Mus musculus: one gene and its partners. The protein of the gene in region 6 interacts with the protein of the main gene of each other region in a pairwise test. Links are inferred from orthologs where the notes say so. Each region holds a gene or a part of one and is shown on either strand. Other genes may lie near its edges. The genes, in order: Mfsd5, Ptpn9, Tspan2, Itm2b, Kcnk1, Creb3 and Apod.

What was found.
Region 1: the proteins of Creb3 (region 6) and Mfsd5 interact in a two-hybrid assay, tested with the Homo sapiens proteins (2 studies listed by BioGRID and IntAct). The two-hybrid records come from large-scale screens. The link is inferred for Mus musculus from reciprocal best matches to the Homo sapiens genes CREB3 and SLC61A1.
Region 2: the proteins of Creb3 (region 6) and Ptpn9 interact in a two-hybrid assay, tested with the Homo sapiens proteins (2 studies listed by BioGRID and IntAct). The two-hybrid records come from large-scale screens. The link is inferred for Mus musculus from reciprocal best matches to the Homo sapiens genes CREB3 and PTPN9.
Region 3: the proteins of Creb3 (region 6) and Tspan2 interact in a two-hybrid assay, tested with the Homo sapiens proteins (2 studies listed by BioGRID and IntAct). The two-hybrid records come from large-scale screens. The link is inferred for Mus musculus from reciprocal best matches to the Homo sapiens genes CREB3 and TSPAN2.
Region 4: the proteins of Creb3 (region 6) and Itm2b interact in a two-hybrid assay, tested with the Homo sapiens proteins (2 studies listed by BioGRID and IntAct). The two-hybrid records come from large-scale screens. The link is inferred for Mus musculus from reciprocal best matches to the Homo sapiens genes CREB3 and ITM2B.
Region 5: the proteins of Creb3 (region 6) and Kcnk1 interact in a two-hybrid assay, tested with the Homo sapiens proteins (2 studies listed by BioGRID and IntAct). The two-hybrid records come from large-scale screens. The link is inferred for Mus musculus from reciprocal best matches to the Homo sapiens genes CREB3 and KCNK1.
Region 7: the proteins of Creb3 (region 6) and Apod interact in binary tests that used the Homo sapiens proteins (3 or more experiments, as listed by UniProt). The two-hybrid records come from large-scale screens. The link is inferred for Mus musculus from reciprocal best matches to the Homo sapiens genes CREB3 and APOD.

What each region holds. Positions count from the first base shown.
Region 1 is NC_000081.6:102,278,147-102,282,244, forward strand, and holds Mfsd5 (molybdate-anion transporter precursor), read left to right. Parts: upstream 1-1,309; 5' UTR 1,310-1,483; intron 1,484-2,030; 5' UTR 2,031-2,048; coding exon 2,049-3,401; 3' UTR 3,402-3,598; downstream 3,599-4,098. UniProt on the Homo sapiens protein: Mediates high-affinity intracellular uptake of the rare oligo-element molybdenum.
Region 2 is NC_000075.6:57,018,968-57,022,467, forward strand, and holds part of Ptpn9 (tyrosine-protein phosphatase non-receptor type 9), read left to right. Parts: intron 1-936; coding exon 937-1,080; intron 1,081-3,240; coding exon 3,241-3,330; intron 3,331-3,500. UniProt on the Homo sapiens protein: Protein-tyrosine phosphatase that could participate in the transfer of hydrophobic ligands or in functions of the Golgi apparatus.
Region 3 is NC_000069.6:102,733,402-102,737,569, forward strand, and holds the start of Tspan2 (tetraspanin-2), read left to right. Parts: upstream 1-1,368; 5' UTR 1,369-1,595; coding exon 1,596-1,664; intron 1,665-1,813; exon of another isoform or gene 1,814-1,857; coding exon of another isoform or gene 1,858-1,914; exon of another isoform or gene 1,915-2,016; intron 2,017-4,168. UniProt on the Homo sapiens protein: May play a role in signalling in oligodendrocytes in the early stages of their terminal differentiation into myelin-forming glia and may also function in stabilizing the mature sheath.
Region 4 is NC_000080.6:73,361,726-73,365,007, reverse strand, and holds the end of Itm2b (integral membrane protein 2B precursor), read left to right. Parts: intron 1-315; coding exon 316-466; intron 467-1,864; coding exon 1,865-1,950; 3' UTR 1,951-2,782; downstream 2,783-3,282. UniProt on the Homo sapiens protein: Plays a regulatory role in the processing of the amyloid-beta A4 precursor protein (APP) and acts as an inhibitor of the amyloid-beta peptide aggregation and fibrils deposition. Plays a role in the induction of neurite outgrowth.
Region 5 is NC_000074.6:125,993,615-125,997,901, forward strand, and holds the start of Kcnk1 (potassium channel subfamily K member 1), read left to right. Parts: upstream 1-1,487; 5' UTR 1,488-1,845; coding exon 1,846-2,200; intron 2,201-4,287. UniProt on the Homo sapiens protein: Ion channel that contributes to passive transmembrane potassium transport and to the regulation of the resting membrane potential in brain astrocytes, but also in kidney and in other tissues.
Region 6 is NC_000070.6:43,561,509-43,565,457, reverse strand, and holds the start of Creb3 (cyclic AMP-responsive element-binding protein 3), read right to left. Parts: upstream 2,801-3,949; 5' UTR 2,646-2,800; coding exon 2,499-2,645; intron 2,409-2,498; coding exon 2,252-2,408; intron 2,178-2,251; coding exon 2,107-2,177; intron 1,990-2,106; coding exon 1,900-1,989; intron 198-1,899; coding exon 91-197; intron 1-90. UniProt on the Homo sapiens protein: Endoplasmic reticulum (ER)-bound sequence-specific transcription factor that directly binds DNA and activates transcription. Plays a role in the unfolded protein response (UPR), promoting cell survival versus ER stress-induced apoptotic cell death.
Region 7 is NC_000082.6:31,312,009-31,315,979, forward strand, and holds the start of Apod (apolipoprotein D precursor), read right to left. Parts: upstream 2,801-3,971; 5' UTR 2,544-2,800; intron 2,461-2,543; 5' UTR 2,391-2,460; intron 1-2,390. UniProt on the Homo sapiens protein: APOD occurs in the macromolecular complex with lecithin-cholesterol acyltransferase. It is probably involved in the transport and binding of bilin. Appears to be able to transport a variety of ligands in a number of different contexts.

The DNA of each region.
Region 1 (4,098 bases), on a different chromosome or scaffold from region 6:
ACCTCTCCAGCCCTGCTTTTTTTTTTTTTTTTAATTTATTAAAGATTTACTTTATTTAAAAGTTTATTTTATGTGCATGAGTGTGTGCCTAAGTGACTATACTCTCACTAGTTTCATGCAGGTCTCAGAAGTCAGAAGAGGTCAGTCAGCTCCCCTGGTGGAGCTGGAGCTACAAGCAATTGTGAAAACTACTCTGCATATTACTCTTCAAAAGCAGTAACAAGTGATCTTCCACCCCTCTGCCTCTCCTCTGCAAGAACAGCAAGTGCTCTTAACCTGTTAATCATGGAGCATTTTCGCTAGGATTTATTTATTTATTTATTTATTTATTTATTTATTTATTTATTTATTTATTTGCTTTCCAAGCGCAAGGACTACATGAGCCACCACACCATGAAAGAAAGGGAAGTCCTGGCCAGGCGGTGGCAGCGGCGCATGCTTTTAATCCCAGCACTTGGGAGGCAGAGGCAGGTGGATTTCTGAGTTTGAGGCCAGCCTGGTCTACAAAGTGAGTTCCAGGACAGCCAGGGCTATACAGAAATACCCTGTCTTGAACCCCCCCCCCCCAAAAAAAAAGGAAGAAAGAAAGAAAGAGGTCCTCTCTAATAATAACATGACTTCTGGCGGTAAAGAAGGTAACTATCTTGGGGGGGAACTCTGCAGGAAGCAGTGTGCAAAGGCCCAGGTGGGAGCCGGTGTAGACAGGAGGCCGCGTGGTAGCAGATAAAGTCATGGACATAGCAAAAAGTCCCGGACAGATGCATTTGCATGTCTTTTGAAAGATGTTGGATTCTATCCTTAGTGAAAAGGGAAGCCATTGCAGGGGTCTCCAGGACATAATATTGAATACTGAAACTTAACATTCCAAGAAAAAGCAGATCCTAGGTAGCAGGAGGTGGGAGTCCAGCTCCAGGGCTTAAGTTTTTGTCACTGCTTCCGCAGCCGGACTCCGGCTTTACACCACACCGCCTCCCTCAGGTGTCTGGACAATACTGACTGCTGGCCGGGAGGTCAGGGGAGGTCCAAACCCTAGGGCAGCTCAATTTAGGGCAGCGGAGTTCATTAGCACGTGGTATCCGCTGGCTCTGAGGGACTGCCGGCACCTTTCCTTCTCCTCCTGGAGGAAAACAGAAAATACACTTTCATTCCGGACGACCCCGCGGATATTGGCCAGCTGGAGGACCCTATGGTACCCGCCTGCTCAGGCGCCCAAGAGAACAGCGCACCGCTCCAGCATCCCGGGCCCCATAGGCTCTTCCGCTCCTGGGCGGGGCGCCACGAGGGGGAGTGGCTTCCTGCCGCGCCCCGTCACGTGACGGGGCTATCATGGCGGCGGCCACGAGCCAGCCCGGCTCCCGGAAGCAGGCTGTGAGGGGCGGGCGCGCTGCTGGAACCCGAGCGGAGCCGGAGCCAGTGCGGGGAGGGCGGCCCGGCGGCCTGGAGCCGGACGTGTCCGGAGCGTCCCGGCAGACCGGGGCAGCAGGTGAGATGGGGGCCGGGCGAGGTGCGAGCGGATGAGGGGACGCTCGGCTGAGGCTAGGGGGCGCAAGGAGGGTCAGCCGTGACCCATAGCCGGGGAACCTGCGGTGCGCGCGCGTGACCGCGAAGCATTGGAGAGGCCGGCCCGGGCGGAAGGGATGCTCGGGAATAGATGTGGAGACACTGAGCTCCAAAACTGGCTTATCAGCGAGGATGGGAGGTACAAGAAGCCTGCAGAACCTATCATGGAGATGGGCAGTAGCCCCTTTTGAACTTGAGGGACCGAGATTACTGAAAGGAGTCCCCTTTGCTGTACCAGGCAAGGGTGGAGCGAGTGCTCTGGCCTCTCCCCACTGTCACCCTCCCCCGCCCCACTGAGTCCTAGGAGACAGCCACTCCTCCCACCCACCCAACTGGTCCCTCCAGTCTCAGCTCTGGGGGAGAGAAATTGACAGTGCAGTTGGGTGGAGTTGCCCTCTGCTTAGACACCTAACTCCTCGACTGTGCTACCTGGATTATGGATGTGACTGTGGCCATCGTTCTCTCCCCAGGTCGTCCGGGGGCCCATCATGCTGGTGACTGCCTATTTGTCTTTTGTGGGCCTCCTGGCCTCCTGCCTGGGTCTGGAGCTGTCAAGATGCAGAGCCAGGCCCCCTGGAAGAGCTTGCAGCAACCCCTCCTTCCTTCAGTTTCAACTAGACTTCTATCAAGTCTACTTTCTGGCCCTGGCAGCGGACTGGCTCCAAGCTCCCTACCTGTATAAACTCTATCAGCATTACCACTTCCTGGAGGGTCAGATTGCTATCCTCTACGTCTGTGGCCTTGCCTCCACGGTCCTCTTTGGCCTAGTGGCCTCCTCCCTTGTGGACTGGCTGGGTCGTAAGAAGTCTTGTGTCCTCTTCTCCCTCACTTACTCTCTATGTTGCATAACCAAGCTCTCTCAGGACTACTTCGTGCTGCTGGTGGGCCGAGCACTCGGTGGGCTGTCCACAGCTCTCCTCTTCTCAGCCTTTGAGGCCTGGTACATCCACGAGCACGTGGAGAGGCATGACTTCCCCGCCGAGTGGATCCCAGCCACCTTTGCCCGAGCCGCCTTCTGGAACCACGTGCTGGCTGTGGCGGCTGGTGTGGCAGCGGAGGCCGTGGCTAGTTGGATAGGGCTGGGGCCGGTCGCACCCTTTGTGGCTGCCATCCCTCTTCTGGCTCTGACTGGGGCCTTGGCTCTACGAAACTGGGGAGAGAATTATGACCGTCAGCGTGCCTTCTCCAAGACCTGTGCTGGAGGCCTGCGCTGCCTGCTGTCTGACCGCCGGGTGTTGCTGTTGGGTGTCATACAAGCGCTGTTTGAGAGTGTCATCTTTATCTTTGTCTTCCTCTGGACACCTGTGCTAGACCCACACGGAGCCCCACTGGGCATTGTGTTCTCCAGCTTCATGGCTGCCAGCCTTCTGGGTTCTTCGCTGTACCGCATCGCTACCTCCAAGAGGTACCACCTTCAGCCCATGCACCTGCTTTCCCTTGCTGTCCTCATTGTCGTCTTCTCTCTCTTCATGTTGACTTTCTCCACCAGCCCAGGCCAAGAAAATCCTGTGGAGTCCTTCATTGCCTTTTTACTTATTGAGTTGGCCTGCGGGCTCTACTTTCCCAGTATGAGCTTCCTGCGAAGGAAAGTGATCCCCGAGACAGAGCAGGCCGGGGTTCTCAATTGGTTCCGAGTGCCCCTGCATTTGCTGGCCTGTCTAGGGCTCCTTGTCCTCCACGACAGCGATCGGAAAACAGGCACCAGGAATATGTTTAGCATCTGCTCTGCCGTCATGGTGACGACTCTGCTGGCAGTGGCAGGACTCTTCACCGTGGTGAGACACGACGCTGAGTTGCGGGTGCCCTCACCCACCGGGGAGCCCTACGCCCCTGAACTTTGATCCTCCAGGACAAGGGGTCTGAGATGGGCTCTGGAACACACCCACCTACCCATGACTTGCTTTGTGACTCTGTCCTGCAGCCCCTCTTGCCAGTGCTCTGTATTGGGAAGGACATGGGGGTGACAGACTGGAAAGGTGCCAAAAGCTGACAGTGTACTCCCTTCTCCTTGCTGTGTAAAAATAAACACTTCTAATGGATGTGACTCACTTGTCCTCTCCTGTACCCACCTCAGTTGCTGGTGAGGGGGCAACTGGAGATTTTTGAGGTACAGGTGGGGTTCTGATGTCTTCAAGTCAAATGTCTCCAGCTAAACTGAGGGCTGTGAAATGCCTGTCAACAGAACTGGGTGGAAAGATTCAGAGGCTCCTAAGTCCTTACTCTTGGCTAGGACAGGTACCCTCTCCAGTTTGCAAGCAAAATCCTCAGTTCACATGCAGGGGAAAGATGGACTCTTGAAGTTGGGCTTAGAGTCAGGACACTCATTACACATGTTGAGATCTGATCTCTGGTCCTCATGATTATGCAGTAAGTGCTTTTAGCCACTGAGCCTTCTCTCTACCTCAAAAAGGGAAAATGATCTTAAAGCATGTATCCAGTGCCCAATATACTCAGCCCTTGAACAAAGATTCCAGTGTTCTGGGCTGCTTTGGTGACTACCCCATGACGGTAAACAAAAGCCTTTCCTGTAGGAATAAG
Region 2 (3,500 bases), on a different chromosome or scaffold from region 6:
AAGAAAAGTTTCAAAATAGTTAGAACAGAATAGCAATGCAGAGATCTTTTAGGTACTCAGAATATACATGCATAATATCTCAATTTAAATAATTCTAAAATGAAAAAAAATAGATATTTTGGCTGAAGTCGGGTCCTAGCAGAGTTCTCTAATCCCACCTCCTAGGAGGGGTTTCTCATTACTCCTTCATGCATGCCAATGCTGTGTCCTCTCTCTGAACTGGCTGTACTTTTTATCCTAAGCAGTAAAGACTAAGACTATATAAATGTAACCTTTATGATAGTTTATATAAGTGGCACTATTAGGAGGTGCAGCCTTGTTGGAGTAGGGGTGTCACTGTAGGCGTGGGCTTTAAGACTCTTGTCCTAGCTGCCTGGAAGCTGGTCTTCTTCTAGCAGTTTTCAGATGAAGACGCAGAACTCTCAGCTCTACCTGTACTCTTCCTGTCTGGACGCTGCCATGCTTCCACCTTGATGATCATGGACTGAATCTCTTAACCTGTAAACTAGCCCCAAATAAATGTTCTCCCTGTAAGAGTTGCCTTGGTCATGGTGTCTATTCACAGCAGTAAAACCTAAGACAATGTTTTTAAATTAAAATTTAAAATTACTTTTATTTATTTATTTGTCGGTGTGCATACATACAATTCCATGGCACGTGGGGTTCAGAGGACAGTTTGCAGGGTCCGCCATATGGGACCTGGCAATTGAGCTAGAGGCAAGTGCCTTTTCCTGTTGAGTCGTCTTTCTAGCTCCCCTTCTTCCTCCTACTTTTTTTTAGATGGAATTTCATATAGACCAGACTGGCCTAAAACTTGATATGTAAAAGAGTCTCATTTGGGGAAAAAAATAATAATTTTTGCCTGCTTGTTCCTGTTATGTTTCTAAAATATATTCTCTTTTTACTAACTGTCCTCATTTTTTTTTATTTAAACAGGCTACCAAGCAGTTTCTTGAAGAGATCAACAAGTGGACAGTACAGTATAATGTTTCTCCACTCTCCTGGAATGTGGCTGTCAAGTTCCTCATGGCCAGAAAGTTTGATGTGCTCCGTGCTGTAGAGTTGTTCCACTGCTACAGAGTGAGTGGCTCAGGGCCAGCTAAGTATTTCTATTTTTTTCCTGCTTTACGTTGTACATGGTGATTTTCTACTTCTCTCTTATTCTGTTAAAGTGGGTCAATGTCCACCAATCCTATGAGAGCTGAGGTTGGGCTCCTGGAGACACTTGCTTAATGTGCACAAAGCTTGCTTGCAGACCAGCCTGCTACCTGTGAGAACTGAGGCGAAGAATGTTCCTTAATGTCATCCTGTGGCCACTCCTGGGGTTTTCCTCCTTGCTCTCTTCCCTGCCTCCTGGATAACCTGTTTGGTATATTTTATAGCTGTACTTTAAGGCCTCATGAAGTTGTAGAAAGCTGCCATTCTGATGAACTTTGAGCTAAAGAGCTATTCAAGAAAAGATTGGTGCTAGTGTCAGCTAGGTCCCATTCTTGGCAGTGTCTTTTTGGTATTTGTTTTGTTTTGTTTTGTTTTGTTTTGTTTTGTTGAGACAGGTGTCTTTGTGTAGCTAGCCTCTGCCTTGTGAGTGCTGGGATTAAAGATGTGAGCCACCATTGCCCAGCTACAATTTTTTTTTTAATTAAAAAAAATTTTTTTTAAGAATATTTATTTTATGTGAGTATACTTGCTGTCTTCACACCAGAAGAGGGTGTCAGATCCCATTACAGATGGTTGTGAGCCACCATGTGGTTGCTGGGAATTGAACTCAGGACCTCTAGAAGAACGGTCATTGCTCTTAACCACAGAGCCACCTCTCCAGCCCTTGTTTTGTTTTTTTGAGACAGGGTTCTCCATGTAGCCTTGACTGACTGTCCCAGAACTTGCTCTGTAGACCACGCTGCCTCTGCCTCACAAGTGCTAAAATTAAGGGCATAATCTACCATAGCTGGCTAAGATTTTTTTTTTAAGGAAGTTTAAGACTGATTCTGTGTTATGTCTGCTTTCTGGGATTGTAGCATCTTTGATTGAAATGCTGTATGTTATGTTACTTTGTGGTTAGAAATTTCTTCTGAAGAGATACCATCTATCCTTAAAAAGAAAAAGAAATCCTAGGAAAACAAACAAGCACTGGGATTAGCTCACACTTATCGTACGGCTCATCCAGTACTCACTTATTTATTCCATAGATATTAATGGAATACATACTATGTTAACCATGCCGCAGTTGTTACTTAGGAGAGAGAGTAAACAATAAAAAAAAAAAAGGATACTAGCCTTAAATCTGAAGGATGAGTAGGGATCAAGCACTGGTGAAGTATGGCTAAAGAAGATAATATGTGGGCTGGAGAGATGGCTCAGCTATTAAAGGCTAGGTTTATAACCAAAAGATAGAAGAAAACAATAGTTCAGATCCTCAATGGTAGAAAGTAAAATTTAGCTAAGCCAGAATGTTGAGTGGGAGTCAAGGCATGGCAAGAGATGGAGAGCACAGATAAATGAGGCCAGATCATTAAGGCCTGAGAAATCCATTAATGATATAAGCAATGTGATAAATTTTTCCATATTTGCATTCCAGAAAGATTTTGACAATATATTTTTGGATAGTGTATCTCACTGATTACCTTGGAGCCAAAAAGATCAGTTTAAAGACTGTTGTACTTAACAAGGAGAGAGAATGGCAGTATTATTAAACATGTAATGTCAGGGGAGATGGAGAAAAGTAGACAAATTTAGAGTTCAAATGAGTAGGAGCTGCTTAAGCTGGTGTGTGAGGAAAATGAGTGAGGCATCTGAGTTGGGACTTGTATGTCAAGATCAGTGCTGGTAACATTAATTAATTTAGGAGACATTGAAGTGGGGTGGGTTCATGTAGAAAGAAGGTCATGGGTTTAATTTGTCCATGTCTTTGGGATACCCAAATAGACAGTTCCTGTAAGCAACTGGAACCTGAGTGCTGGTACAGAAAAGAAATCTGCACTGGGAATCGGTATTTCTGAATAGCCAAACTCGAGCTGACTCTTGGAGGCATCAGAACAGATGGTTGGTCCTGAGAAGGTGGCTGTAGACAGGAATTATGGTAACGGTTAGCTGCCCTGGAATGCTAAGGCATGCTACAAAGGAATTCACAGTTCAGTTAGTTGATTTCTAATGTCCCATCCCTGAGATTTGATGGCTACATAAAATTGTTCTGGATATGTCATATTTTCATATTAATTCATGTCTTCATTGTTTCCTTTTTAGGAAACAAGAAGAAAGGAAGGCATTGTGAAGCTGAAACCTCATGAGGAGCCTCTCCGTTCTGAGATCCTCAGTGGGAAGTTTACTATCTTGGTAAGTCTGTGGAACCCATCTTGTGCTTTGTTACATCCTTTTGTGGCTGTTGCCTTATTTGGATTTTTGTGCCTAGGTTCCTTATCAATACATTTTGCTAAAATTGTTCTAATAATAATTGAGTTATTACTAATTAAAAGTATTAATAATAGTTGAATTATTGAGTTATG
Region 3 (4,168 bases), on a different chromosome or scaffold from region 6:
ATCTCATGTGCCTCACTGATCTCACTGTACATATATTAACTCCTTAATCTTCACAACTCTTTTGAAGCAGGTTGTACAATCTCCATACTGAGATGGGAAAGAGAGGCCCCAAGATAATGGGGTAATGTGTCACATTAGTCAAGTGCCTGCCCTCTGTGATTTGTTCTGGTGAGCTCCTGACTCCCCTCACCTTGGCCATCTCTCTGACTCCTGCTCCCAGGCTAGGTTGTACTTCCTCTGCTTCCTCCCCTGACCCCCTGCTCTCTCTACTGGCACCTTTTTGTTTGTTTGGTTTTGGTTTTTTGAGACAGGGTTTCTCTGTATAGCCCTGGCTATCCTGGAACTCACTCTGTAGACCAGGCTGGCCTCAAACTCAGAAATCTGCCTGCCTCTGCCTCCCAAGAGCTGGGATTAAAGGCGTGAACAACCACTGCCCAGCTACTGACACCTATTTTACAAATTAGGATCAGGTCCAGTCTTCTTGAAAAGCCTTCCTTAGTCAAGGCAGAAGCAGTCTCTTGCCCAGCTCCTAGCCCACCCACCTCACCTTGTTCCAAAAATTTGCTTACAGATCTGTGCCCTCCAGTAAAGATGTGATAGCAAGCCTGGCATTCTTCTGGTGTCCCCAGGGCTTGCTACTATGCCTGGCCTATAATTGGCACTTAGAGTGTTGCTAAATTAATGCACAAGCTCCCTGATTTTACACTTTCCTGTCTCCCCCGTGCCGTCTGACACCACATATTGTAGACACTTAGTCAACTGAAGTGAATGCCCGATTCTTCACCAGTCGCCTAGCTTAATAAAAACAAAGCAAAACAGAACTCGCTCCCTTTCCCTGATCTACACATCTCAGTCTAGACCCTAAGAATCTGGACTTCTTTCAAGGCCCCCGATCTATCAAACCTAGCAGGATGTGAGTGAGAGGTCTGACTCCCTTTCCCTGATCTGGTGGGCTGGACTGGGCAGGGTGGGAAGCAGTGTCAGGGCCCAGGGCCTCCGCCTGGCGCGCCTACTCCCAGTTCTTGCCTATTAAGGTAACAGTCCTCTAGGAACGCAGCGGCAGGAGGGAGGGTCCCCAGCAGCGGCCTCCGCCCGCGGCCTGGGCGCTTGCAGGACTCTGCTTAACTGCAGCCCTGGACACTCTGCCTGGCGCCTCACCACAGAGTCTCTACCGGCTTCACCGATCCTATTAGCTTTACCATCTGAAGTCACCTCCCTAGGTTTCCATAGACACGCAGGATAACTTCAACCATCATCGAGGGCCTCAAGGGAGTCTGGGCACCCGGCACTGATTAAATGGACCCCGCGTTCCGGGTGGGCGCACATATGCTCGGATAGCTACAGGAGCCCAAGCCCACCAGCGTGGACGAAGGTGGTGCTACCTCCAAGGGCCGGAGCGGGTGCGTGGGACCGGGATCTCCACCCCAGGGCGCCCCAGCCACAGCCAGCTGGCCGCTCGCGACCAAATCCCCGCCCGCAGACCACGCCCACAGGTCACGCCCCTCCCAACCCGCCCCGCCCCTCCACCGGCGCCCGCCGCTCCCGGGGCTCGGCGCGGGCCTGGGGAATCGGGAGCCCGCCGCCGGGGTCGCAGCATGGGGCGTTTTCGCGGGGGCCTGCGGTGCATCAAGTATCTGCTGCTCGGCTTCAACCTGCTGTTCTGGGTGAGACCCGAACCGGCGGGCCGGTTAGGGGGCCAGGGTCCCCGGGGAGGTGACCGCAATAGAGTTGGGCCATAGGAGAGGGCAGGATGTTCAGAGGCGCTAAGCAGACAAAGAGGGAGGGGACATATGGAGGGGGATAGGACATAGAGAAGCTTGAGCTACCAGAGGTGATGAGAAGAGGAGACACGGTGCGATGCTCCCCCGAAAGAAGCCATCATCTTCGGCGGCATCGCCCGGCGGGTGGCGCCAGGTGCGGGGATCTAGCGGGCCCCAATATTCCGAGGGCTGGGGGCCTGGCGGCCCGTGCTCCCTGCATCCTGCTGTGTACACACACCCACTTCTCGCGCTGCCTTCTCTGGGGAACCCGGCGGCCGGGCCAAGGCTCTGGGAGGGAAATCCCTACCGTAGGGCTGCCTGGGGTGGCGCCCCAACCAAGAGTGTGCGGACACGCCGCCTGGCTCTGGTGGTTTGTTGGGAAAATAACGGACAGTAGAGAAAATTGAAAGAGTGGGGAAGATCGTCCTTTTCTTGGGCATTGGCGGGGGGGGGGGTCTTCTGGGTGGGCAGTGGTGGGTGCTCTTTTACGAGGGGTTGGAAAATGGAGGGATTTTGGAAGAGCAGCAACATCCCCCTAGGGTCCCTGCGTACAACCAGTACTCTTGAAATGATCTCATTCAACTTTGCAGGGTGGTGTAGACCTGGCAGCATTCCCTGGGTAGAGATGCATAGAGACAGCCAGAGAGAGTGCCATGGCCCCAGTCTACTGTGTTAGCAGGGCATAGTTAGAGGTGTACCATCCCTGGAATACTCTCTCCCGAGCCCTGGAAAACGGTCAGAGGCCCATTCTGCACAGTCCCTATTGGCCTTCCAGTAACAGAATGCCAGCCAGTGTAGCTGCTCAGATAGACCCTGAGGGAAGACACGAGTCTCGCTTCAGGGGATGTGGGTAACTGCAGGAGCAGAGATGCTTTGGGATGCTTTGAAACCACTGGACTGGCCGCGATGGTTGTCCCATCTGCTCTGAGGAGGCTGGATGGACGATAAGTAATAAATTATTGAACGATGGGCCTCACTTGTGACTACCAACCCATCAGCCCTGAAGCCTGGGTGACTCCAGCAACTCTAAGCTCTTCAGAGACTGCGTGGCCATGACCAACACTGGCTAGCAATGGACAGTCTGGAGGCAGTACCTGGGGACATCCCCTGTATTTTAAAAATACATATAGACTTTGTACAACTTGGCTTTTACACCCATCACACTCCAGGAAGAAGACTTTCTGAGCGCCCTTGTGCTGTATTGTTTGTTTGTTTGTTTGTTTGTTTGTTTGTTTATAAGTCTGGCTTAATTTCGAAGGCTGTTAATTATAGGTGCCATGTTGCAGTGACACCCGTTACTCTCACTGCTTACAACATACTTTGTGTGAGCCAGGGAGGGAAGTCTCTCAGGCTGGGTTTAGTGCTTATTTTGTGCCAGCTTCTCCAGACTTATCAAACCTTTGCAGTGGGTTAGGGACAGTGCGCATGTGCAAGCAGGGCATCCCCATCTTCATAGACGAAGACGTGGGGGATCAGATAGGTCCCACAGCTGTTGAGTGGCAGAGACAGGACTCAAAGGCTGCCTCCTCCATCTTCATCCTGTGGGAGGTTCAGTCACCCAGCTGTCCTCAGAATGTGGCTCCTGGGTCAACAGCATCAGGGCTCCCTGGGGAATTTTCAGAAACATATATTTTCACTCAGCCCGGCTCGCTGAATCAGACAGTGTTGGGGAGGAGCCCAGCAAGCTATTCTAGAAGGCATCCAGGTAATCTGAACCCACGGGCATGTTTCAGAATCACCATCAAACAACTACTAGATAGATGCTGTTCCCAAAGCTGCTACTACAGCTAAGAGAACAGCCCACAGAGAACAACAAAAACAAAGTAAGGCAGGGTGACCAAGTGACAAGCTTCACACCCGGGTCACAAGCGCAGGGATGAAGTAGCACTCCAGTGAAGTCTGAGTGCCTGTCACTGAGATTGGAGATGGCCTTTTCTATATGTGATCTAAGTACAGAGTTCAGAAAAGCAATCCCAGTACCAGCGAGGACCCTAAACAACTTCATCTGAGAGATATCGGAGCTCAACCTGGGAGAACGGAGGTGGGCAGAGGGAAGCCACCAGATGAGGAGCAGAGCAAAGGATTGTGAGCCATCCGAGAGGCAAAGCCAGGGGGGGTCTGAGGGCAGAGATCCAAAGCATGGTGTGCTTAGATGAGGGGGCTTGCCAGAGTCAGTGTGCTCTCCCTCCATGCCAGAGTCAGTGTGCTCTCCCTCCATGCCAGAGCCAGCGTGCTTTCCCTCCAGGATTGCCTTCCCATCTGTTCAATTAGATGGACAGAGTTGTGCTGAGGACGTGTGTGATGTATCCTAAGCCAGCCTTATATAGTAGGGGCTTGAAGTTATTTGTTATTCTTGTTATTAACTGTCTGGCATACAGGAAGTGTTCAGTAACTAGTATCTGTCTTTC
Region 4 (3,282 bases), on a different chromosome or scaffold from region 6:
AATAACTATTAACCAGCTACTTCATTCCAGTGCCCCTGAGTTGGGCCTGGCTGTCACCATCCGTATCGCTAGGCACGGTGACCCATGCCAAGCGTCATTCCTGGGAGGCTGAGGAGAAACAATCGGCTAAGTCTGGGAACTGAAGACCAGCTTGAGCGACAAAGCGAGATTCCAATTCCAAAACCAAGACTACATTTATAAAAGCAGCCAGTTAAATATCCATAAATCCTGTTTTAAAAGCACACCGAAGAGTTTTGTCTGCCTTTCGCTCAGTGCACACTGAGAAAGCTCCATGTCACATCTTTTCTCCCACAGGCCGGGACCTACCTGCCTCAGTCCTACCTTATCCATGAGCACATGGTGATCACCGACCGCATCGAGAACGTGGACAACCTGGGCTTCTTCATCTACCGACTGTGTCACGACAAGGAGACCTACAAACTGCAGCGCCGGGAAACAATTAGAGGTAAGGAGAGTCAGAGAATTCCCATGACGCTTGGGTGACAATGTAAAGGGACCCTGTGTCATGCTTGGTTAGTTTTTCCAAGATTTAGAATCATGGAAATCCCAAACCCTCTCTCTTCAGATAGAAACCATCAGTCAGCAGGAAATGCCATTGCTTTGGGACGCACACCCACCCCTCAGTTTGCATGTAGAAGAGTCAGGTTTGACTTTTCATCCTCACTGTGGCTGGGCCACAGGAGAGAGGAGGTCTTTCAGCCTCACGCTTGGACTCTTAGGGAATCTGAGTTCTCACAGGTCCCGTCACCTGTGGATCGTGCTGAGGCTAGTCACAGCCAGGTGACTTAGGAAGACCTGTAGGTGAGGAGTCTGGAGCCCTGACATGACCTCGGCAGCTCTGCTGTCACTAAATCTTGTTTTCCCCCTGAGCAGTAAGAATAGCAGCATGTGCCCACTATAAATGCAACGCAGAAGTGTGTGTGACCTTACACATCGTCCAGTGCCATCCGTCGGTGACGCCACAGCCTGGCTTGTGTGGGATTGTGTCACCCAGCAGAAGTGCTTCTTTTCTGGTCTTTGCCAATACTTGTAGTGACATTGTTCTCACCTCAGGCTGCTGAGTCATCTGAAACCTACCACTTGATTTCTTACATTTAAGTCACGATCTTGCCTCATAATTTTCTAAAACCAATTTGATAGAACGAAGTTTGTCTCTCCCGGTGTGCAGTTCTGCAAGCACACACGGGCATGTGACTCCACCGTATGTAACTAGAATACCTCCCAAACCTTGGAGCTCATGCATCTGTGTCTTAGGGTTTCTGTGGCTGCAACAAAACACCATGGCCAAAAAAAAGCAAGTTGGAGAGGAAAGGGTTTATTCAGCTTATACTTCCACATTGCTGTTCATCACCAAAGGAGGTCAGGACAGGAACTCAAACAAAGCAGGAACCTGGAGGCAGGAGCAGGTGCAGGGACCATGAAGGAGTGCTGTTTACTGTCCCCATGGCTTGCTCAGCCTGCTTTCTTATAGAACCCAGGACCACCAGCCCAGGGATGGCACCACCCACAATAGGCTGGGCCCTCCCACACCAATCACTAATTAAGAAGATGCTCTACAGGTGAATCTTATGAAGGCATTTTCTGAATTAAGGTTCCTTCCTTGCAGATGACTCTAGTTTGTGTATCAAGTTGACTAGGCAGCACATCTGTCTGTAAGCCGTTTGTAAAGCACTGTTACCAGTTGCTAGGATATATGGAAAGGCCCAGTGGAGCACAAATTTCAAATTATGGGATGGATATAGAGTAGTGGCATGCTTCTCTATGTCTAAAGAGTAACTGTGAGTATTTGTTACTAAACAACTTAAAACAAAACCAAAACCAGCCCCCTTTCCTTTCCCAACAGGTATTCAGAAGCGGGAAGCCAGTAACTGTTTCACCATTCGGCATTTTGAGAACAAATTTGCTGTGGAGACTTTAATTTGTTCTTGAGAAGTCAAGAAAAAACGTGGGGAGGAATTCAATGCCACAGCATACCCTGCCCCTTTGTATTTTGTGCAGTGATTGTTTTTTAAAATCTTCTTTTCATGTAAGTAGCAAACAGGGCTTCACTGTCTCTTCATCTCAATAACTCAATTAAAAACCATTATCTTAAAAAAAGAAAACAAAACCTTTCTTTTTTCTAAGTGTGGTGTCTTTGATGTTTGAATTAGCAAATGTGCAGGTTCCTAGATAAGATTCGCTTCTCCTTAGAGCTTACCTACTAGGAAGAATCTAAATTGCTTGGAAATCACTAATCTGGATTTTTGTGTTAATTCTGCACTTCCATGAGGGAAAGATGCCTAAAGAATAGTCATTCGCATATGTTAAAGGGACCACAGTGACTTGCTTGTAGATGCTAGCCCTGCTACCTAGTCTGTTAGCATTTGAAGTCACCTTCTCATACTACTTTAATTAAAATGTGCCGTATCTTCAATGTTGCTTTAACTACTTTAGAGGATTTCAGCCTTGATGTTTTAATATCCTAGGCCTCTGCTGTAATAAGATTTTAGACAAATGTTTGGAATTTAAGAAGCAACTCATGTTACTAATTTGTATAGCCCATATCTGTGGAATGGAATATAAATATCACAAAGCCATGTGATGAGACTGTGCGTTGTTTTTCCCATAGGATAAAACCAAAGAAGTAATTTGGTTCTTCATACTTTAAGGTAATCCACATACATAAAAAATGAAACTATTTTATAAAGTCTAGTTCTCTACATGCAGTTATAAAAATCAGCTTTTTAAAAAAATAAAATAAGCCATTAATTACTAAATCAGATTTCTTGTGGATGCTGTTTCAGTGACACCGAGGGCAAACTTGACCAACGCTGCTTGACAGGAAGTGGGCCTTGTCATTCAGTGGATGGTTAGCATTGAAGCTAAGATGTGGATCTAAGTGGTGGTTCTCAGTCTGTTCTGGTTTTTCTTCAGACTCATCTCACTGTGCTGTTGTAACTGGTAGTCTCTAGGGACCAGCCTCTCCAGCAGGGAGATAGACATGTCCCACAGAACCTGGCAAGCTAGAGATGGGATTTTTGTTGCTGTTTCAGTTTTTGAAACTGGGTCTCAGTCTGGAAACTAGGCTGACTTGGAAATCAGGCCAGTCTCAAACTCGTGATGATTCTCTGCCTCAGCTTCCAGGGTGTTAAGATCACTATCATAGCAACCACACCTGAGGTTGCTTCTTAGCTGAGAGAATTCAGAATCCACTGCCTGGAAAACACCTGAGAGTAGGTCTGGAGCAATGGCTCAGAAGTCACGGGTGCTTATTGCTGGTCT
Region 5 (4,287 bases), on a different chromosome or scaffold from region 6:
GTTCAGTAGGCAGATGATGGAATTTTCCAAGTATTTAGATTAATTCGGATTTACTTTAATGCTTTCTCTTACTGATATCATCTACCATAGATGAGGAGTATTTTTTTTTAATATAAGAAATTGAAGCTACCTCTCTCCTCTACTTCCCCACAAACAGCTGCTGGAGGCAGTTCTACTTCTACATGTTAGCCTGCTTTGCAGACACAGTTCTGTTACAGGGTACAGCATAAACGGTTCGCATATTTGAGATTCCAGACAGCTGTGCTTACGTCTGCATAGTCTTCAAATTCATCTTTAAAGATCAGATGTCATCTTGGCTGGGGAACGGTTCAGCAGTCCAGGTGCTAACCACGGTCCCGGCAACCGGAGTCCATTCCCGGAGTTCATTGGAGACATTGATAATAATGATAATGCTATGATGATGATGATGATGCTTCAACATTTTTTTTTTTAATTCGAGTCCTGAGTGTCTGACCACAAGTCTGGGTACCCAAGTACTTTACCACTACGTCATCTTTCCTGCTCCCATTCCCCTAGTTAGGAGCCTTTAGAATGTCCCTGACTCTTGACTCCATGTGCATGTAATGACAAAAATACACCTCTGTGTGTGGAGTGGTGGTTTGAATGAAAATGGCCCCCACAGGCTCATAGGGAGTGGCGCTATTAGGAGGTGTAGCCTTGTTGGAGGAAGTGTGTCGCAGGGGATTGAGCTTTGAGGTTTTAAATGCTCACGCTGACCCAGTTTTATTCTTTCTCTCTCTCTCTCTCTCTCTCTCTCTCTCTCTCCTGTTTGCCAATCCAGATGTAGAACACTCCGCTCTTTCTCCAGTATCATGTCTGCCTGTGTGCCACCATGTTCCCAGTCATGATAATTATAGACTAAACCTCTAAAACCGTAAACCAGACCCAGGTAAATATTTTCCTTTATGAGAACGGCTGTGGTCATGGCGTCTCTTCACAGCAATAAAAACCTAAGACAATAGGTATGATGTATGGCACGATATATAAGACAGGATACAGCTATGCTGAGTCTTATGTATGTGACTGTCATCCTTCTCTAGGAAGTGTCACAGAGTCAGGTCCTCCACCCCCACCCCTAGAAGCACACAGCTAGACTCTAGAAGCACACGGCTGCACATGTCTATGCAGAAATGTAGAACCCAACCTCATCCACCATCAGTTCCTCCGTGCCCTAGCGCACATTTCCATTTCTGTCTCCTGACCACGAAGTCCTTAAAGTTTGGGGTATTGTTTAGGCTAAAATCCAGAAGCTGTGTTTTCCTGTTCCAGGTGGAGGATGGGGTCAGGAGAGGATTCAAGTAGCTTTTTAGAAAGAGGTTCATTGTATTTTCAATAGTCTGGGCAGCAAATGGCTTAGCTGTCCAGTCAACAAGACAGAGGAAGACAGGATCTATCTGTACCCTTGGTATTTGGCTATAGTAGCTTTAATCAGGAGGAATGCCTGGGGGGACAAAAGTAGCTAGGACGGGGGTTACGGTGGCGCGCGCGCGCGCGCGCACACTCTCTCTCTCTCTCTCTCTCTCTCTCTCTCTCTCAGCTCAGGCCTGCTGACTGCACTGGGGAAGGGAAGAGGGAGCCAGGCAGCCTCCGGGTGGCCTGGCCAGGGTCTGGCGCCACCAAACCTGCACTTTCCGGTTTCGGAAGCCAGGTAGGGGGCGCGGGCAGCCAGCAGCTCCCGCCAAGTGGGTGAGAGCGCTCCGCCCGACCAACTCCCGCTACCTGAGCCGGCCACCACGTCACCGCCACATCATCTGGCCTCTTGTATTTGCACGAAACCAGGAAAGGGAGCGGCGGCGGGAGGCGCGGAGCGCGGGCGCCGGGAAGATGCTGCAGTCCCTGGCCGGCAGCTCGTGCGTGCGCCTGGTGGAGCGGCACCGTTCGGCCTGGTGCTTCGGCTTCCTGGTGCTGGGCTACCTGCTCTACCTGGTGTTCGGCGCCGTGGTCTTCTCGTCCGTGGAGCTGCCTTATGAGGACCTGCTGCGCCAGGAGCTGCGCAAGCTGAAGCGGCGCTTCCTGGAGGAGCACGAGTGCCTGTCGGAGCCGCAGCTGGAGCAGTTCCTGGGCCGCGTGCTGGAGGCCAGCAATTATGGAGTGTCGGTGCTCAGCAACGCCTCGGGAAATTGGAATTGGGACTTCACCTCGGCGCTCTTCTTCGCCAGCACCGTGCTCTCCACCACAGGTAGGGCCGCTGCTGCCACCTTACCCCAAACCCCGGCGTCCCCAGGCCTCCGCTGGGCGCATCCTGCGGTGGCTCGCAGTGGCGGCAGCCAGTGAGGTGACCCCGGAGCACGATATGGGTACTGCAGCTGTTACTCTTTGGGAATGGTCTCAAACACTCTGGACCTTGAGGCTGCAGGGGTCTCATTCACTTCTCCGTCCTTGTGAGGAGCAGGTAGGAGCTGATGGGAGGGTAGGTCCCCGACATTTCTGTCCTGGCAACTGAGCAGCAAGACCAGGAGATGAGGAGAGTATCCTGTGCTTAAGAGCGTTCGCCTCCTTCTGGCCCCATCCCAGAGACCCCAGGCCGAGAAACCTAGCAATGACCCTTGGATGGGTCACCTTCATGACTGTGACTCCCTTCCCTACTGTAGACCTATTACAGCTTCTTTGGATCTGTTTTGGGGACAGTGGTGACATCACTCTGCTCTCTGCAGGTGACCTCTAAGCAGGCAGGCCTATGGGGGTTTCAGAGTAGGAGGAAGGGTGGGAGAAGGGAAGGGAGTCACTTGACCTGGGCCCCACATGGTGGGGCTTCCTGAATCAGCGGTTACTTCAACTTTAGGTGCGTTGAGCTTCTCTTCTACTTTGAGGCTTCAACGTCTTCAAGAGGCTTAGAAATCCAGCTGAACATACATGCCCAGGGGCATAGCAGTTAGACTAGATGGAGAGAGGCCAGGTTTCGTCAGTGGTGGCTAGCCATGCGTGCAGGCTAGGAAGGACATAAACGGTGCACGGACAGCCAGAGGGACTCTCAAAGGGCCTCAGTACCGTGCCTTCTTCTTATGCATGAGATCCAATTTTTGAAATGGCCCCTTTTGGCAGGCACAAGGTCACACAGTGCCCAGGGACACTCTGGAATCCGAGCCTTGTGAGTTCTTGCCAGGAACAGTGTGTTATGCCCCTGCCCCACCTTTGCAAGTGACTCAACTGCACCTGGGTTACTCCAGCCGTTCCTTCTCCCTCCTCTCTGCCTCTCAGGCTGACCCTTCTCAACTTCCTTTGGGCTGCGGCCGGGTAAATTATTTTATTAATTACCCACTATTGTAAACACCCAACCTCCAGCCAGATCAGGTAAATTTATTGTTTGGAAATCTGGGGTGAGTTCCTGAACTTGTAATCGACACAGAAAGAGTTCTAGGCTGTGTTGCGGTATTTTTTAAAAAAAAAAAAACTGTGTTAAATGGATGCCGAAACAAGACAAACCTGTTGGCTCACTTTCCAAAGAAAAGTCTCCTCCCCCCCCTGCTGCTCACAGTCCCGGCTTTATCTCAACATCACCCAGGCCAGTCAGGTCTTTTTGGATCCTATTTGTGTCAGAGTGTAAATCCCTCCTCCACCATAGACATGAATGTTTACATAAAGTTCACAACTGGCTCACAACGTTGGCTGAGCAGTTTGAGAATGAAGACTGCCCTTACCCTGCGGGCCTGGCAGACAGGGCAGGGATAGGAAGAGCCAGGAGAGAAAGCATGCTTTTCCTAGGTGGCGTTTGTGGGCAGTGCTGAAGTTCTTGTATAATCCTGGTATCCTATGCATCAAAAGCTAGTTCAGATCCCATTTCTTCTGGGGAATCTTTGTTTAATGTGAGCTCAGCCCCTAATGTTAGGAATCACCACAACTCCTGAAATATCCTCGAGAGGGGAGTGGGGTGTCTGATGTATGAGGGGAGGAGTGGGGTGTCGTGTTGGTATTCCTATTGCATTGTCCTTCTGAGGAAGAAAGTCTGTACTGTGGTATTGGAACAAGGGTTTATTTAAGAAAGGAGAGCAAGGGGCACTTAGGGATAAGCCAGACAAAGGAGGAGACTCTCCGTGTATAAAACCAGCTGATCGGTGAGACGGTGGGTGTAGTGAACAGAGTGCTGTGAGTCAAAGCCCCTCCTCTCTCAGTTTTGAGCTGATGCCATCATCGGACACATTTGATAGCACCTCTGGTTTCCAAAATGGTTTTGTGGCAGAGATGCAGATGGTGCTAAGATTGGAGCTGGTGGGTTTCACCACTTAAGAAACTGTTCACTGCAAGAGAAGACCTCAGATGGCCTGCATC
Region 6 (3,949 bases):
AACATGGATGTGAGGACACGTGGATTTCAAAATATTGTGTCTCCTCCCTTCAAGACCCTCCAGGCTTCCCCCGTGTCCATCCTTGCTTACCTGCTCTCCAGCCCCACGACATACACCTTCTTCTTCTTGCGGCTTTCTTGAGCTGCTCTCTTGTTACGAATCTTCCTCCGCACTCGTTTCAGAACTTGTTCCTCCACCTAAGAGAAGATGGGGGAAAGGTCACCCACAGTATGTTATTATATGCCTGTATGTTATACCTATATATACTACATAGGTATGTTGGAAGACAGCTAACCTTCTTCCCAATCAAATACTCTCCACAGCCTCTCTGTCAGTAGGCATTTACCTTCTGTGTGAACACCAAGGAGCAGATATTCAACACTAGAAAGCCAGACTTTTTATTATTTTTTATGTGTTTGGGTGTTTTGCCTGCATGTCTGTATAACGTATATGTATAATGGGTGTGCCTAGTGCCCACATAGGCTAGAAGAGGGTGTCAGATCTCCTCGGATTGTAAGCTGCCATGTGGGAGCTGGGACTTGAACTCATGCCCCATGGAAAAGCAGAAAGTACTCTAAACCACGGAATCATCTTTCCAGTCTCTAATTAATTTTAAAAATTCCACTTAAGCTAGGTGTGGTTGTACATGCCTGTAGTATCAGCACTTGGGAGGCAGAAGAAGGAAGTCAGGATTTCAAGACCATCCTTGGCTAGGGTAGTTTTTGAGGACAGACTGAGCTACATAAGACCATGTCTCAAAACTAACAACAACAACATCTACCCTTATCCTAAAGCAACATCAATCTTCTTATAATTTCCATTCATTTGATTTTCCTAGAGTCTCTAAAGTGATATAGAATATATCCTTATCTTAAGGTACTTTCAACTTTTTTTCTTTCAGAAACTAAAACTGAATAAAGTTAACTCTTACATTCTCTGATAATGCCTGTCAAACTTGGACACTAGCCAAGAGTGACATCATACACTTGTAATCTAGTCCGAGGGAGTTAGAAGCAGGAGAATCAGGAATTCAAAGGCATTCTTTCCCTACTACATAGTTTGAGGCCAGCCCAGCCTGGGTTTACAAGACCCTGCCTTAACAACAAGGGCCAGAGGGCGTGGCTCAGCAGTGAGCATTGATGAACATTCATGAGGTACTGTACTCCAATCCCAGTGGGTAGGGGAATTATGGCATGCTCTGGCCAGTGTAAAGGAAGACAAGACAGTTACTATCCTAGGGACAGAACCACTATTGATAATTTCCAAGTTCCGTTTCCTTTCCTCCCAATATATTGCTCATTCATCTTGTAATAGTGATAGAGGGATAGGGGATGGTTTCTCACATAGCCCAAGCTTGCCTGAACTCAACATGAAGCTAAGTCTGTCCGTTAATGCTGATCCACCTGCCCCAAATAAGTAAATATCTACATATCAGAAGTAAGACAATATTAAAAAGGCAAATGACATTAAAAAAATTTGCCACAAAAACTAGATGCAGTATTCTTGTAATCCCAGCACGTGGGAAGTGACTTTGAACTTGTGAAGACCTTCCTGCTCCTGCCTCCAGAGTGCTAGGGTTATAGAGGGGTGCACCATCATGTCCAGCTTTGACGATTGTTGATGTTGTTAGACTGAGTCAGCCTCTCAAGCATTTCTACCACTGAGTATGATTCGAGGTCCCAAGATAACAACGGAAGCTATCAAGGCCCTTCACTTTCAAGGCTCTGTACTAAAGTTACATTTAAAACATTATCTTTTGACGTGGGTGTGTGTTTGGAGATGAGAGAACTTGTAGGAGTTGGTTTGTCCTTTTGCAAGTGATTGATATGAAACAAACTGAGCTTGCCTACTTGGGTTACCAACCCCCTCCAGCCTTTGCTCTACCAACAGGAGCCTTACCTTAGTGAGAGGAAGGGTTGAGGGCAGAGTGAGCCCCTCCTTCTCCAAGAGCTTCTTCTCTTCCTCGGTCAGTATCAGCCTAGACATCTCCTAAGGATGGAGGAAATAGTGAAGAGAGCAGAGTTGCATGGAGCTCTCAGAGCAGTATGGGGGATCTTGGCTGCTGCAAAGTGAGGTAATCCTGAAAAAAAAAATCAAGTCCAGCACCTGTTCCGCTGCTCTTTCCTCCCCTGGCAGTGGAGTCACGTGGAACCCCTCCTTTTCGAAGCTCTCAGTATCTGCAAAAGGGAAAGTAGAACCAGCTAGCCCAGTGAGCTCTCTCCTCCCCCACAACTTATCATTTCACACTCACCTAGATCTATGGAGACGTGCTCCTGTGGAAGGGAGTAGTTGTGATCATGGAGAATGGAAGAGCTGGAAGAGCCGAGAACATCCCGCGATACTGAGGGACTGAGCAGAGAGCTCAGTAAATCCTCTACCTCCCAGTCGCTCAGTTCTTGCACGGAGTTCTATCAAATTCAAAGGCCTTGATTTATTTCCGTACCTTGGGTCTCGCGGACATCCCTAGCTTCCCCCACTGGGAACACCCACCCACCCACCTCGGAAGGTGACAGCTCTAAGTCCAGCGGAGCCTTCACGTCCGGCTCAGTCGCAGCCCACAAATCTCCGCTTTCCTCTAGCAGGAAGCCCAGCAGGTCCTGATCACCGGGATCCAAAGCTAGCAGATCCTGACCACCAGGATCCATTTGGGATATCTATGGATAGAAATCCCTCCGCGCAGATCCAACCTCCGAACCTCAGGCACGACCCCTCAGTCTGTCCAGTCGGCTCGACTTAACCTCCGTCACTCCGGGACAAGGGCCTAGCTGTCACTCTAAACCGCACCCGTCTCTCAGCTTCTGTATTCCTCAGCTTCCAACACAACGGAAGTGGTGCACATAGCCCCGTGGAATCCTGGGACTTGGAGTTCTCTCCAACTCGGAAGTGGCTCCTGGGCTGCGCCACGTCCCGGGGGCTATGCAAATTATGGGGACGTCCTTTCAAGCTTCCCACGCCCCAGGGCGGGGATTCTGAGGATCCTTGTCCGCCTTCGCCTCGAGCTATTAAAAAAAAAAACTTAAGCGTTTAAAAGGGAACTCCAGCTTAGTTCGGGCGTTCTCTCCAGAGCTCTGCACGCTCGCTTCCTGCTGGGGAGGGGCGGCCAGGCTTCGCGGGCGCCCGAGCATCGAGAACTACGGCCAGAGCAGCTTCCTGCAGTCTCCGCTACCATAGAGCGCGGGCCCAGGGCGCCGCCGGCGGGTGGGGGACGTTTCCAGGACGGAAGTGGCCGAGAGTGTGTCGAAGGGAGGGCGAGGCCGGAGCCCCAAAAGCGACCGGGAGAAGGAGCGGGTAGCGGGCCCAGGGCGGGGCGCAGAGCCGGGCAGCGCAGGTAGGCCGGACGGGCTGGGCCGAGCTTCTAGGTGGGGCTGCGGGATCGGGCCAGCCCGGGAAGCGGCGGGCGGGGCCCCCAATCCTCCTGCATATCCTGTGTCTGGTTAGGGAGGTCAGGGTCCAGTATGTTTCGGTTTGGATTTGGAATTAAGCTGGCCTTGTTGCGAGAAGCAGGCCCTTTCGCGGGGGTAGACAGTTCTCTGTCTCGGCTAGGTTTGGGGACGGGTAGAAATGGGGTGGCAGTGAGGCACTGGGTGGCAGTGAGGCACTGGGCGGGGATGGGCTTTGGTATTAGCCGATAGTGAGTAAGTGGTTAGGAAAACTTGGGGTGAGTTTGGGTTAGGTGCCGTCGCGTTTAGGAAGCAAGGATCCCTTTAGAAGTTAAGAAGGTGAACTACATTCTAAACATTTGCTGCACGAGTCAAGTCTGTTTCGCATATGTGACATTTAAACTGAGGTCATTATTTTCTGCAATGACCAGCATTAAGTCAGAGTACAGGATCGGGTTAAGGATCAACAGGAATTGGCTTAGATGCCCGTTTTAGGGATTAAAGGCCGGTGTCATGGTCAGTATTAAGAATAAACAGTGAAAAGGTTAATTAAGAACCAAGTTACAAAT
Region 7 (3,971 bases), on a different chromosome or scaffold from region 6:
TGACACCGAGCTCAGTAAATATTAGATTTTTGTTTGTTTGTTTATTTTGTCTCACCATTAGTCCTGGCTAGACAACATGCTTTGTAGACTGAAGTGGTCTTGAACTCACAGCGATCTTCCTGTCTCTGCCTCCCGTGTGCTGGGAATTAAAGACACATGCTACCTTGCCCAGCTAAACATTAGCATTGCTATTTTGAAAAGCAGAATCAGGATTGCATTTCCCAAATGTTTTCCCCGTTTGCTGAGGGTGCTTTGCATAGAGGATGTGCATTTAACTGGAGAAGAGCGGTCAGCTGATGTGTAGGTCCAACTTTATTTCCATACACAAGTCCTCTGGTGGCCACAACCCTGGGGAGGGGAGTGGACAGGGGAGTGAGATGGCGGTCAGTCAGTTCAGGCTATGGATGGAGACCTTGGGCTCCTCTCTGCCTTTCTCCCTGACTTGCCTTCCCTCTGTTCCCCTTTTGTGCCTCCTTGCCTCTCACCGCACATGAGCTATTTCCAGCTCGCTGCCTTTCTGCCTGTGATGACTGAGTCAATGCAAGCAAAGTGTTCTCAGATCTGAGCATTTCAAAGGATGTGTCATAACAGGAACAATTATAACCACTTTATTATGAGTCTCTGAACCTCCAAATAACTTTAATAATCAATAGCCTTTTCTTCCTGAAGGTTTTGTTGCCTGGTTTTCAACAAGAACAGTTATGTAAGGAGCGAGAGCTGCCAGCTGGGGCGGGTTGGGGAGGGGGTGGCTGCTGAAGTTCTCTGGAGCAAATCTGTGGTGGGACCACCATCTTTAGTCCTAGAGGCCTCCTTCCTTCCATCATCATATAAACAACACCTGTCTTTTGACATTTTGGAAGGTGGAGTGTTTGTAGAAGCTTCGCCTAAACTCATAAAAACTTTGCACCCATTTTCAAGGGCTCTTGGAATCTCTGTAGCTCTACCCAACAGGCCTAAGCCAATAGCCTTTCCCACACACTGAACTTTAAAGGGTGGGTGGCATAGAGTATATGCATTCTACTGCATTTCAGAAATGGGCAGGACCATAAAGGTCATCTATTCAGCTCTCCCTCAAGCTCCTGCCAGGTGTGCAGATGGAGAAACTGAGGCCTGGAAGGGAACTGGACTATGACAGGGCCAGCTGTCCACCCAGAGCCTCTCTGCCATGTTCCCACCTGCATCCATCTTGGTGCCTTTCAGAAAATGCCTGCCTGTGAGACCTGGTGAGCTCTGTCTCACCATGCACCAGCGACAACCAGTCAGCCCATGTCTAACTCCGACAAACGTCTCATTACAAGATGTTCTCATGTGAGCTGAAGCACACCCTTGGGCTCTGTGGGAGGATTCAGAACAAGGCTAACTCCCCTTGCCTGCATGGCTTCCAGAGACACCGTCTGGATGCTTTGAGTTTTCTTCCTATAGCTGAAAGTCCTTCAGAGGGGAGCATGTTTTCCATGTTCTGTCCAATTGGATTCACTTAACACTCACTGACAGAACATGCTATTGATGTATATGTACAACTCTGAGAAAAAGATAGGTGCTTTAGGACATATCATTTCCTATCTTCTAATATCATAGGAAGATCATCGAGGTGAATTTACTTTTCAAAAAATAAGCTTAACTATAATTTTAACTAACTACCAAATAACTTAAAGGTAATTCTTCCAAAACTGGTGCATCCTGGACCAGGCACTACCTGAATTGCAGGCACACTGAGGGTCAAGCACACTGGGCTTCTCCTTGGGAAGTGCTGGTCTGAGTACCTATTGTGTGCACTGCATCGGAGCTCACATCTGGAAGCCACCTGTGCTGAAATTGACCCTGTTCTCTGTTAAGGTCTCCAAGAGCACGTGTGTCACTTTAGCTACAGTCCCTAAGCTCAAGAATATTAAGCAGATGTCCCATGGCAAAGCAAAATGTTTGCATGGGTGAATAGATTTTAAAAGCAAACAAATACATGTAGCCTTTGAATGAACAGGAACCATATCCTTTTAATTTCTTTCTTTTTTTCTACATGGTCCTCTGTCCTCAAGCCTGCTATCTAGTTCAGGCTGTCCTACAGTGGGGATCTCTGCTTCTCCAGTGCCAGGGTTAAAGGATTACACCACTAGGCTAAGCCAAACACGTATGCTAAACAAAACCGTTTTGTGTCCAGCTGTTCAGTACTCTAATCACACAAATAATTCCAGTTTTTGGTTGATCTTACTGCCAGGTGCAGTTGAGTCACACTAGAAAACTCATCTGGTGCTGTCTTGCCACACAGGCAATGTTCTCATGGTCTCCTTTTGATAGGGGGGAGGGGTGTGGAGCAGAAGCAGCCATCAGGGCAAGCATAGGCTTAGCCACCCCCTCCACCTAATCACCTGAAAACGGGTTCCAATAACACTTACCTTAGAAGTCTGAGGAAAATGAGATGGAGCCTGTAAAAGCCTTCAGTTGGTGCTCACTGTCAGTTTCTAACTGAAATGAAGACAGTGGGAATCAGGGTGGTCTCTGCTTTACCCATCGGTTACCCCAAGTGCAAGCTCCAACTATGAACGTACCTCTCAGATCAGATGACTGAAGTTTCCACCCAGAATCCTCCAAGTGAGGTGTGTGGCTTCTCCCAAGTCACTTTATAGGCTCCCATCAGGCCCTTGCCCTTTGATAGTCAGGCATGCCACACCCACCACAGCTTGGGGGAAACTGGCCTCAAAGCTGAGCTCTGTGTGGGGCACAAAGATGGGATGCTGTGTCTGTCCCCTCACTTAGTTTCCTTCACAGCTGCTCCCTGAGGAAGAAACAATGAGATATTGTTTGTGCATGAGAGAGAGAGAGCGAGAGCGAGAGAGAAAGACGAAGTTGCATTTTTGTTCAAAACATCTTTTATTTTTTTTCACTTTGTGGATTTTCCACTTAATTTTTTTTTTTTTCCTCTCAGAATGCTCTTGTAAGTTCCAGCAAGAAGGGCTGTACCATGCTTCCAAACATCTGGTATTTATTTTTTTTCATTTTTGTGTAAATGAAAAACCAACAGTTTCATTTCCCCGAGGTGGAACAGGAACACTGCACCCCATGTAGTCCTGGCCAGGAATGTGAGGATCAGAATTATGAGATGCAGGGCGGGCCCCTGCTTCAGTGAGCTTCAGTTTCCCCATTGTGAAGACAGACGTTGTGGTCTTCACTAGAAAGGGACATAGCAGTTCTCTACCATGTGGAGTCAAAATCTATTGCATCCGAGCATCTTCTGCAGCTCTTCTCTTTACACCCTTTGCAACATCCCCATCTCTCTTGCACGGCTTGGAGCTGGAAAATGGGGTATACATTTGCCATGGGGACTTTTGGCTCAGTCACATTAGGGCATACCACAGACCTCCCAGATGACTACAGACTTGGAAACCCAATGGGTAGACAATAGTTTTTAATAGTTCCCCTGCAGTGTGGACTGCCAAATGAATGAGCTGAAGAGGCGTGCTGTGCATCCCAGTGTAAACTATAGAGCTTGGCTGCTATTTAAACTCATCCTCAGAGCTTCAGCCTCAGGGATGCCCGTAGATGGAGCTTTGGAGGCTGCCTCAGAGCTATGGAGGCTGCCACAGATCAGCCTCTGGTTCTACCGTTCAGAGCTGATAGGGCGGCTGCAGGCTCCATTAAGGGCCTTCCTTCCCAGCATATCTACAATTTTATAATAATTTTCAGCCAAATGGTGCTAGGGACAAATCTTACTGTAGATGTTGGGGGTGAACAGTAGAAGAAGAAAGAGCTCAGAGGACTGGACAAACCCACTGGGTCCTACACGCCGTTCAGACCACCAAAGACCCCAGAGATGAGGCACTTAGTGGTTTCTGTGTTGATACAGCCAGGCGAGGCGTGTCTAAGGGTCATTACTGTTCACATCCGGGGACTGAATCTTGGATGTTAAGGAGTGAAGCTCTTGAGGCCTCTCACCTTTAGTGTCTGAGAAGGGCACAGGGCTGTGAACCAAGGCAAGA